Drosophila melanogaster: one gene and its partner. The protein of the gene in region 1 purifies or fractionates together with the protein of each later gene. This does not show direct contact. Each region holds a gene or a part of one and is shown on either strand. Other genes may lie near its edges.

Evidence for each region. Proteins that work in one complex are often made in the same cells at the same time.
Region 2: the proteins of CG4962 (region 1) and mol purify together in Drosophila melanogaster (affinity purification with mass spectrometry, with the first as the bait; one large-scale study listed by BioGRID). This does not show direct contact.

The regions. Positions count from the first base shown.
Region 1 is NT_037436.4:16,293,968-16,297,524, forward strand, and holds CG4962 (uncharacterized protein), read right to left. Parts: upstream 1,581-3,557; 5' UTR 1,517-1,580; coding exon 1,505-1,516; intron 1,442-1,504; coding exon 1,082-1,441; 3' UTR 744-1,081; downstream 1-743.
Region 2 is NT_033779.5:14,994,422-14,999,637, reverse strand, and holds the start of mol (moladietz), read left to right. Parts: upstream 1-2,078; 5' UTR 2,079-2,122; exon of another isoform or gene 2,123-2,924; intron 2,925-5,216.

The DNA of each region.
Region 1 (3,557 bases):
GCTGCGACAGTTGGCCGGCCATTAATAAAAAGATATTTCAACGCACTTTTCACTGGTCAACCTGTTGACAGGCGCACGCGTTTGTCGCTTGAGTCTTTCGTTTCCCCGCAATGATAATTGTTAGAGGAGGGGGGGGGGGTATAGTGAGCAGGTGGGCCGGGCAAGGCGTTGCAATAAAACAATTTTTTTTGGTATTTGGTTTTTTCCTTGCAAGTTTCAAAACACCCGACGGGAGTCGATATGAATCGAGCAAGTTGCTCAAGTAAAATTAATTTGAAGTGCAATTGAATGCTGAATGGCGATCGGATGGTTGGGGTAAGTTCGCAGTTGAAAATCATTGAACAAGCAGTTTTTTGTGAAATGCTCGCATCTACGAACTAGCAATACTATCTGGAATCCTTATAAATGCGAATAAAACTGATCACTTCACGCTCAACTAAACTAAATTGAAAATAATTCCACACTTCATAAATAGACATTTGTCCCCTTAACAATTAGTTTTGAGTTAAGTGGCTTACATTGCGAAATGTGTGTGTGTTAAAACGGCAAATTAAAATATTTCCACATTACTCTGAAAATTCATATTGCTTCCAAAACGTTAGGTATCGTAAAGATTTCATTGAATTGTGTGTAGTAAGGCATATTTGGATATGGATCTTAAATATCCATCCGTCATAATTTCAAGTGAATATTTTTAAACTAACATATATAAGCAACCAGTAAATGAAATAAGCCATCATATTCGTTTAAAGAGTCATTTATCGTTTATTTACAAAATGTTATGAAGCCACAATGCATGGAGTTGCACCATAATAACAAAATCAACGAAACTTGATCCTTCATCAATCTCTCTCGCTCTCGCCGCCTCCCGTTAGTTGTCCTTAGTTCTCTAGTTGTCTCTGTCTCCAAGTGGGTGTCTGGGTTTTTGAGGGATTTTGTACACAATTTGTATTTCCGCTTCTGACTACGAAATGCAAATTCAACACTTTGACGGCAGCAAAATGCGAATTATCCGCTTAATGTTCTCACTTCAATCGGGGTCGTCAACGGGGGGCTGGTATCCTTTCCGACATCCAGATCCTTAGTGCAGGTAGGCTCCGTGTCCGTAGCCGGCGTATCCCAGACCGTAGCTACCGTAGCCGCCATAGGATCCATGGTAGGTGGAGGTGGAGTGCAGAGCAGGCACGGCATGGACCAGAGGAGCGGCATGGACCACTGGAATGGCCTTGGTGGCCACCTTGTAGGTGTTGGCATAGGAGGTGGCCACCGGGTGGGCGACAATGGGAGCGGCGTAGCTCTTGATGATCGGGGCGTGCGAGATCACAGCCGGAGCGGCATAAGCCGGAGCCAAGGCGGCGCCGTATCCCAGTCCATATCCATGGCTGTAGGGCGAGATTACTCCGGCATTGGCCACGGCGCACAGGGCAGAGATGAGGGCAATCTGCGGAAAAGAAACTTCTATGTTAACTTCATACGAGCGGTAATCCTTTAATCCTGATCTTACCAGTTTGAACATTTTGCTGGTTTTGTGTTGTTTGGACTTCTTGACCGAAGAGCTGAATGTGTTATGCTTAGACGTCTCAAGTAGCCCTGTTATTTATACCCGCAACATGAGAAATATTCTGACAAATCTTGGCCCAAAGAGCGGCGGAGAGGGAGAGCCAACACGCCCCTTTCGACGGCCGAGAGCCGAAGCTTTGTGCATTTGCCGACCAGCAGATCGCGAAAGAGATCAGTCACGCGGCGGCTTTGGCTTGAGCCACTGAGCCACCGCCAATTTTAGCCACCGAATCCCCAAGATTTTCATGGAGAACCACCACGAGCACTTAATTCAATTTGTATTTTTTTCGTCAGCTATTGTCGGCGACTTTTGCTCTAACGGAAACTTTTATATTTCCATTCATTTCGTCGTGGAAATGAACAATTGTCTTCTGGGGGTTTCCAGCTGAGAAAATTCTACGGCTAAATCTGGTTTTGCCTATTAGTAATTTTGCAATTATTCCAGTGATCTAAATTGGCCATTAAGTAACATTTCCTTTGAAAGAGCACTTAAATTTATCTATGAATATTGTGTTTTATTCAAAACCGTTGAATTCACGTGTTCAAATTATTTAAATATAAGCCTGCAAGCCTATTAAGCATATCTGCCTAAATCCTTTCTAAAACCGAAAACACGCACTTTATTATCAATCAGCTGACTGACTGACTGACAGCTCATTAGAGATATAGAGATCCGTAGGTGTGGAAAATGTTGTTGTCCAGATGCAAATGATCAATCGGAGCTGCCTCTCCACGCAGCAAATAAACTCAAGTGGTCCATGAAAAATTACTCACTTTAATAACTGACAAACACAGAGTGGAGATTGGTGCAGTTGGTCATTTTGGTGGCTGCTGGACGGCAGCTGGTTTGCCTATATTTTGCATGCATTAATATTTAACTGATTTGTTATCGCGCACATGGCGTATGCGTAACTTGGGTGGAAGGAGCGTAGTCAATTGGAAACATAGGTAAATCATATTTGCCGCATTTCGAATGGCCTGCCAGATTTCCTAATAGCCATGCTTAATTCTGAAACAGCTTTGAAATCATATCACGGGATCAGTCAGAACACGAGGCTCGAAAAGAATTGCAAAATGCTTGTTTTGAGCCTTGAATATCGGTGTATTGAATCAAAGAGTTGTATAAAAATCGAAATTCTCTCAGGGCGAACAAAGACCGACTTAAAGTTTATGAGTCATAAATTAATAAACAATTACGATGGCGACAATTCTTTCGACTCAGCGACCCTGGCCATCGTTGCTGATTGGACCCCAAATGGACAATCTGCATATCAACGGGGCTTAGTGCTAGTCGAATCTAAAACTAAGCCGAACCCTTCACCAAAGCCAACACCTCGTGATTTCGACCCGTGGCGTTATGCAAATGCTAACCAAATTGTCGCATAAATCTCAATCGAAGGCGGCTTGATTGACACCAAACAGGATGCCAAATTGCGTGGCTATCTATCGATCCGCAGCTACAAAACCAAATATGCCACCCACTCGGTTGTTTTGGATTTTTGGTTTTATTCGTGCTGGTTCCGATTGCAGCTGACCACCAAACTCTGGTGGCCTGTAATTGCATTTTAATGGCCTACCAATTGCATTCTGTTTGTCTGCTAGCCATTGAGCAACGTCCATCCAATGCATACATTCGATTTTGATTCAGATTCGCATTTCCCAAGCGACGCCCAAAATACTTTGATTGCCAACAAATCATTCAAAAGTCGAAATTAAAAGCCGTCAATTTTCCAACTCAACTCGTGGCTCAACTCAATATTTTTTCCTTTCGTGATTTATGCGATTTTTCTGGGGAAATAGTCGGACCTGAAATTTGTCCGCCCCATTCTGGTTAAGGAAATTTCCCAAGTCGCAAGTCTGGAGTTCGCAAATGGAGCAGAGGTGACTAGTTCGACTTACATGCATTTGATTAGACCAGCTTGTGACCGCAATGAGTTATTATATATTTTTTGTTATAGTTTAACATAATTGTCGGTTGGGTGGAGGCCAATTTGCAT
Region 2 (5,216 bases), on another chromosome or scaffold:
TTCTGTGGCCCCAGGGACCAACGACCGTCCTCGGTCTGGGCGCGCCAAATCCGTAGGCATCGCGACACATCCGGATTTTGTGTCTGTTTTTTATATTTTCATTTAAGTCTTAAACGGTAGCCGCATTATGCGTAGCTCAGAAGTTATCTCCTCTTGTCGAGTGATTAATTTTAATTTTTTTTTTTCGCTTTTATTGCTGAATAATTTTTATTTACTGCTTGCAATCGATAAATTTTTGTTGTTCGAAAAAGGGCATTTCATGTTGGCCATTCCCGTGCGGCCTGCAGTCGTTGACCGCTTTGAACTGACCTTGCCGCGCGAATTTTCGTTAATTTCAACTTTGTGGTCACCGCTTTGCTGCACTGGTCCGGGATGCTGTTGTTTATGTTTTTCAGACTTTTCTGGTTTTTATCGCCCATCAAGGTGATAGGTTTGCATATAAATGACGCTAGAACAAAAGACTTTGGCGACGAACTCGTGGTGACTAAACATGTGTACGAATTCACTGTGAGAGCAGTCAAAAGAATTGGTTTGCCCCAAGATATTTATTTTAATGGGAATGAATCATTGGACTGCGTAGCGGAAGTTTATTCGTAGCTAGGGAATCGATTATGATGAAGTCCGTTTGCCAATAAGCAAAAAAAAAAAACTAAACACCAGTTTTAAAAACCTTTTTCGAAGCATTTTTAACATAAAGTAAATATTTCAGTAGTTTAGATACTTCCTTTATAAATTGCATGCTGTAAAAATAGTTATACGACTTTAGAAGTTTTTCAGCCAGCTTTAAGCACCACATTTTTTTCCAAACACAGAATAATACTTTTTTAAATCCAAAGACTAAGTACATCGGCTAAACTCTAGAGAGCCTTACGTATAATGAATTACTGATTTTACAGCAATATTTACATTTTTGTTTATGTATGTTTTTATGGCTAATTTTGCACATCATAAAAGATTCACTACTAAGGCAAAGACAACAAGATCTAGCATACTGCGGCTGAAAAGTGGCTTTGGCGTCGACCAGCCAAATTTGCAACTGTCGAGATTCACAAGTCGGATGGATTGACTGGACATAAACAGAGATCACGGAGGCTAACTTGGTGATTTGGCTTGGCGTTGGTGCGTGGCACGGTAGTCGCTAGTAAAAATTCAATTAGCAAATTAAATATTAATTACCAGACGGGTCTCTATGCTAATTGAATTAGCAATAGTAGCAGCTGGCAAATAACTAAATAAAGGAAAAAGTATTGGGGGTTTTTAAGTTGGAATGCTGCGAAGATGGAGTTTTTGAGGATTCGTTTTAATATTATCCAATATTTGGCACCTATTTTTTCTGACATAATTGTTTAAATTAAAGAATGTTGTATGAAAAGTGGAAATTGCAATTTAAAATTTGAAATTTTGATATTATAACGATTGCATTTTTGATTATACAATGCAATTACGTTTCATTAAGTTTTATTTTGGTTTAATAATAAATGTCTCATTTTAACATACTACCTTATAAATAAATCTTTTGTTTTTATGTCCAGTAATGCATTATACATTAATATTTTAAGTGGGCCTTAATTTATATCAACCAAATTAAAATGTCAGATGATAAAATTACGTTTGAGAGTTTTATTTTGTTTCCTTTTTTGTAACAATGCAAGTTCTAATATTTTCGGAGCACAGCTGTTTATACTAATATTATTTCTCCTCGTGACAGGTGCCAATGCTATTCTCGCCCGGCTGATTAAAGTATATAATTTGCCGCTCGGCTGTGAATTTAGTGTGAGGCCAGGCCCAAGATGAACCAGTTTGCGGTTGGAAAGTGTGGCAGCCTAGAGTCGGACAAGGTCCCTGATCAGGAATAGCCCTGGCGATATAGCCCAAGTTCCCTGTCGGATTTTTTGATATTTTTTATTTTAATAATTTTTTTTTTGATTTTCTGACTTTCCGACATGACTGCTTCATAAATTCACACTCACTTAAGCCTGCAATTAGCGGTCGAGCAAAAAGCTCCCATCGCTTTGGAGCTTTGGCGCTCTGTTGCTCTCTTTTGGGAAGGTTTTGTCTTTTGCTCACCGCTCTCGGCGTTCAGTTGATCGACGGCAAGCTCTCGAAACGGACGCAGATTTTTGTAAGTCGCCGCCGCGCCTGCGCATTTTAAATCAGTTGCAACAAAAAAACAACGAGAGGCAGCGAAGACGAAATCGAATTGTGTTTTTATTTGTTTGCTTTTGTTTTGTCTGTGTGTTATGCCATGCACAAAACCACCGTGTTCGTAAAAGTGGAGAAAAATCAAAAATCGAAAATTCAAGCCGAAATAAGTTTGCCAAAACAAAAAGAAACCGCAAAAGCCGCGTTATAATAACGCAAATAACGGTATTAAGTTTGAAGCTCATCTAGTTATTTATGCTTTGCTCCTCGTGGTTGTCTGCAAAAATAAAACAAAAAAGCTTAAAACAAACAACAGTGTCGAAAAACCTTAACAATTTGCGCGCACATAAAATATAATTAAAGCCAGCAAATTTTTGCCTTAAACATAAAAAAGTTAATCAACTTGGTTGCAATTAAATGTTGCAATTTATTTTTTTGCAACTAAAGTGCGAAATATTCAGTGCAATACAATAACAAAAATAAATAAGTTTCTCTGAAGCAATACAAATAAAAGTTTCTCTGTAGAAATATAAATAAAAAAATACCAAAATCCATATTATCAAAAATTCAATAAGATATGTAAATAAATAGTTTGGTATACTCAAGCAAAAATAGAATGCTGAACAATGGATAATAAATTATTTATTTTTTTGGGTAACAAACTGATTGCCGAGACTTAAAAGACACCGAGAACTAAAAATAAAATATGATAGATCAAACAAAAAAATTCCCAAACATCTAAAGAGGGAGTCCGCCATTCCTCAAACGTATGTGTGATGGGTGTATGTGTGGGTGGGAGCGGGAAAATTGTGTTGGTAATTTCTAATGCACATTTTCCCTTTAGTATTACCCAACACAATGTTTTATTACCCTTACAGGAGTAACAGGAGTAACTAAACCTTTGATATTTCGATATTTATTAAAACATGAAAAAGAAAATTGATTATAACAACTTCCAGCAATTTTAAACCTTTTTTTTGTATTTTCCGCGAAAGCGTACATAAAGAGCGTATTTTTTTTAATACCCCTTCCTTTTACTGTATTTTCCTGCCTGCCCTTTTAGTTGTCGTTGAATTTGTATGACGTGTGTGCATCAGGTTGATTTTTGTGATGCGTTTTGCCTATGTAATTTCCATGTCAGGCGTTGGGATTACTTCATCTCCCGTTTCATTTCCTATATGGCCAGATGATTCAAACCAAACTGACCAGCGCAAAAATGAAAACAAAAACTACTGCTACAAAAAAACTAAAAAAAAAAGTTGCACGAAAAAGCCGGTTGAAGGCAACTCTTACATATTTACACGCACCAGCGCTCATTGAACACACGCCGCCAGCAGCAACAACAAAGCTAGCACGGGAAAAAATTGTTTTAAACAGTTACTAATATTTTTATTAATATATTAGTAAGGATTATATTGATAAATAACAGTACTACAAAAAGTAATATCAAGATATTCATAATATTCATATATGACATAAATCATACAATTCCGAGTAATTATTTTCTCTCACTGCATTACAGCAACAGCAACAAAAGCAATATCAACAGGGCGACACAGAAACCTGTTGTTGTAGCTCTTGGTGCCTCTCTTGCTGTCTCTGTCTCGTCAAAAGACATTTGCAGAGTTTCCAGCTGCGTGTTGATTATGTCAATTTCATGTTTACTTCATTTCCTCAATCCACCGGCAAAGGTGTTAGAGAGAGGGGTATAGTGGGCGGAAAGGGGTGCGCCAGCAATTTCACTTTCGTTGGACTTGAAAATAAAAGCTGCAGTCTCTGTGGCAGTGTGAGCGAGTGCGAGAGAGAGAGAGAGAGAGAGATTATTGGAGCAAGATGGAAGGAGGTTGGAGCTTGGGAAAGAGAGCAAGTGAGAGTGAGAGTGCGCACAGCAAGTGTGCTGCATACGGTACTTGGATGCTGGTGCTGCTGATGCCTCACTTGCTTTGTGGGGCGTTGCTGCACCGTGGGTTATTGCTATTTAATGTTCTTGAGCATAAAATTGTGGATCGTGACTTTGGGCTCAGCAAATAATTCGTTTCACTAATCCGTATTGTTTCATATATAATATATTTTAAAAACCAGGTGACTAGTCACAATAACTAACTAACTGACTAGTTACAATAAAAGTTTTACCCAATTTTTTCAGATATTATGATGAAATCTTAAAAGAAGTGATACCAATTAGAATGGCTAAGCTCTGAGATATTTGAAGATTATTATTATTATTTTTGTTTATGAATTGTTATACTCTCAGTTTTCATATTTGCTTGAAAAGTTAGTTTGTTGATGTTTTAAGAACAATTATATGAATTTTGCAATGTTCATACGTCAATATAAGGATTATTATGTTACCATCCTTTTAATAACTGTACCACTGTGCGCCGGCGTCTTTTGTGTGCTACTCGTCGCATATTTTCCGTTTCGTTTTGTAACTGTAATGTCTGTTTTTCCCATTGTCCGATTGTTGCTGGTTGTCGCTTTTGTTTTGCGCTTATAACGTAATAACGTAATGTGCTCGAAGATTTCCACATGCGATGCGTCGCACCTTACGTTTTGGTGCCAAGTCCATCGCCGACGTCGACGTTCATTGTTTTTGCAGGCAATTGAGCCAATAAACTGACGCGAATCGTAGCGACTTACAAATTCCTGTCCGAAAAATATGCGAAGGTCAACCAGAGGGGCAGCACCAACAACCACAACGATATCGAATCCATAACAAAATAGTTGAGAACTCCCGCAAGTGGAGTTTCATACGAGTATGTTTGGTATTCGCACCTTCAAACATGATTTCACGGACTGTCAGCTTGGCAAAAATTCTAATTATAAATGAAACAATTTATTACCGGGTTTTTAAAATAAAATGCAATTTATGTGCAAAGTCTGGCGGCGGCGGCGGACTTGACTAGTTAAACCGGTTGACTGCCAGCAGCAGCAGCAGCAATGAAAAAAAATGGAAAAAGAACCATTGACTCAATGGGGGTGCAGTCAGCAACAGCAAATTGCAACTGCAAGGAAAACATTTTTCTTAAATATACGGAATTAATTAATAGAAGTTAAACAAAGGATAATTTCTT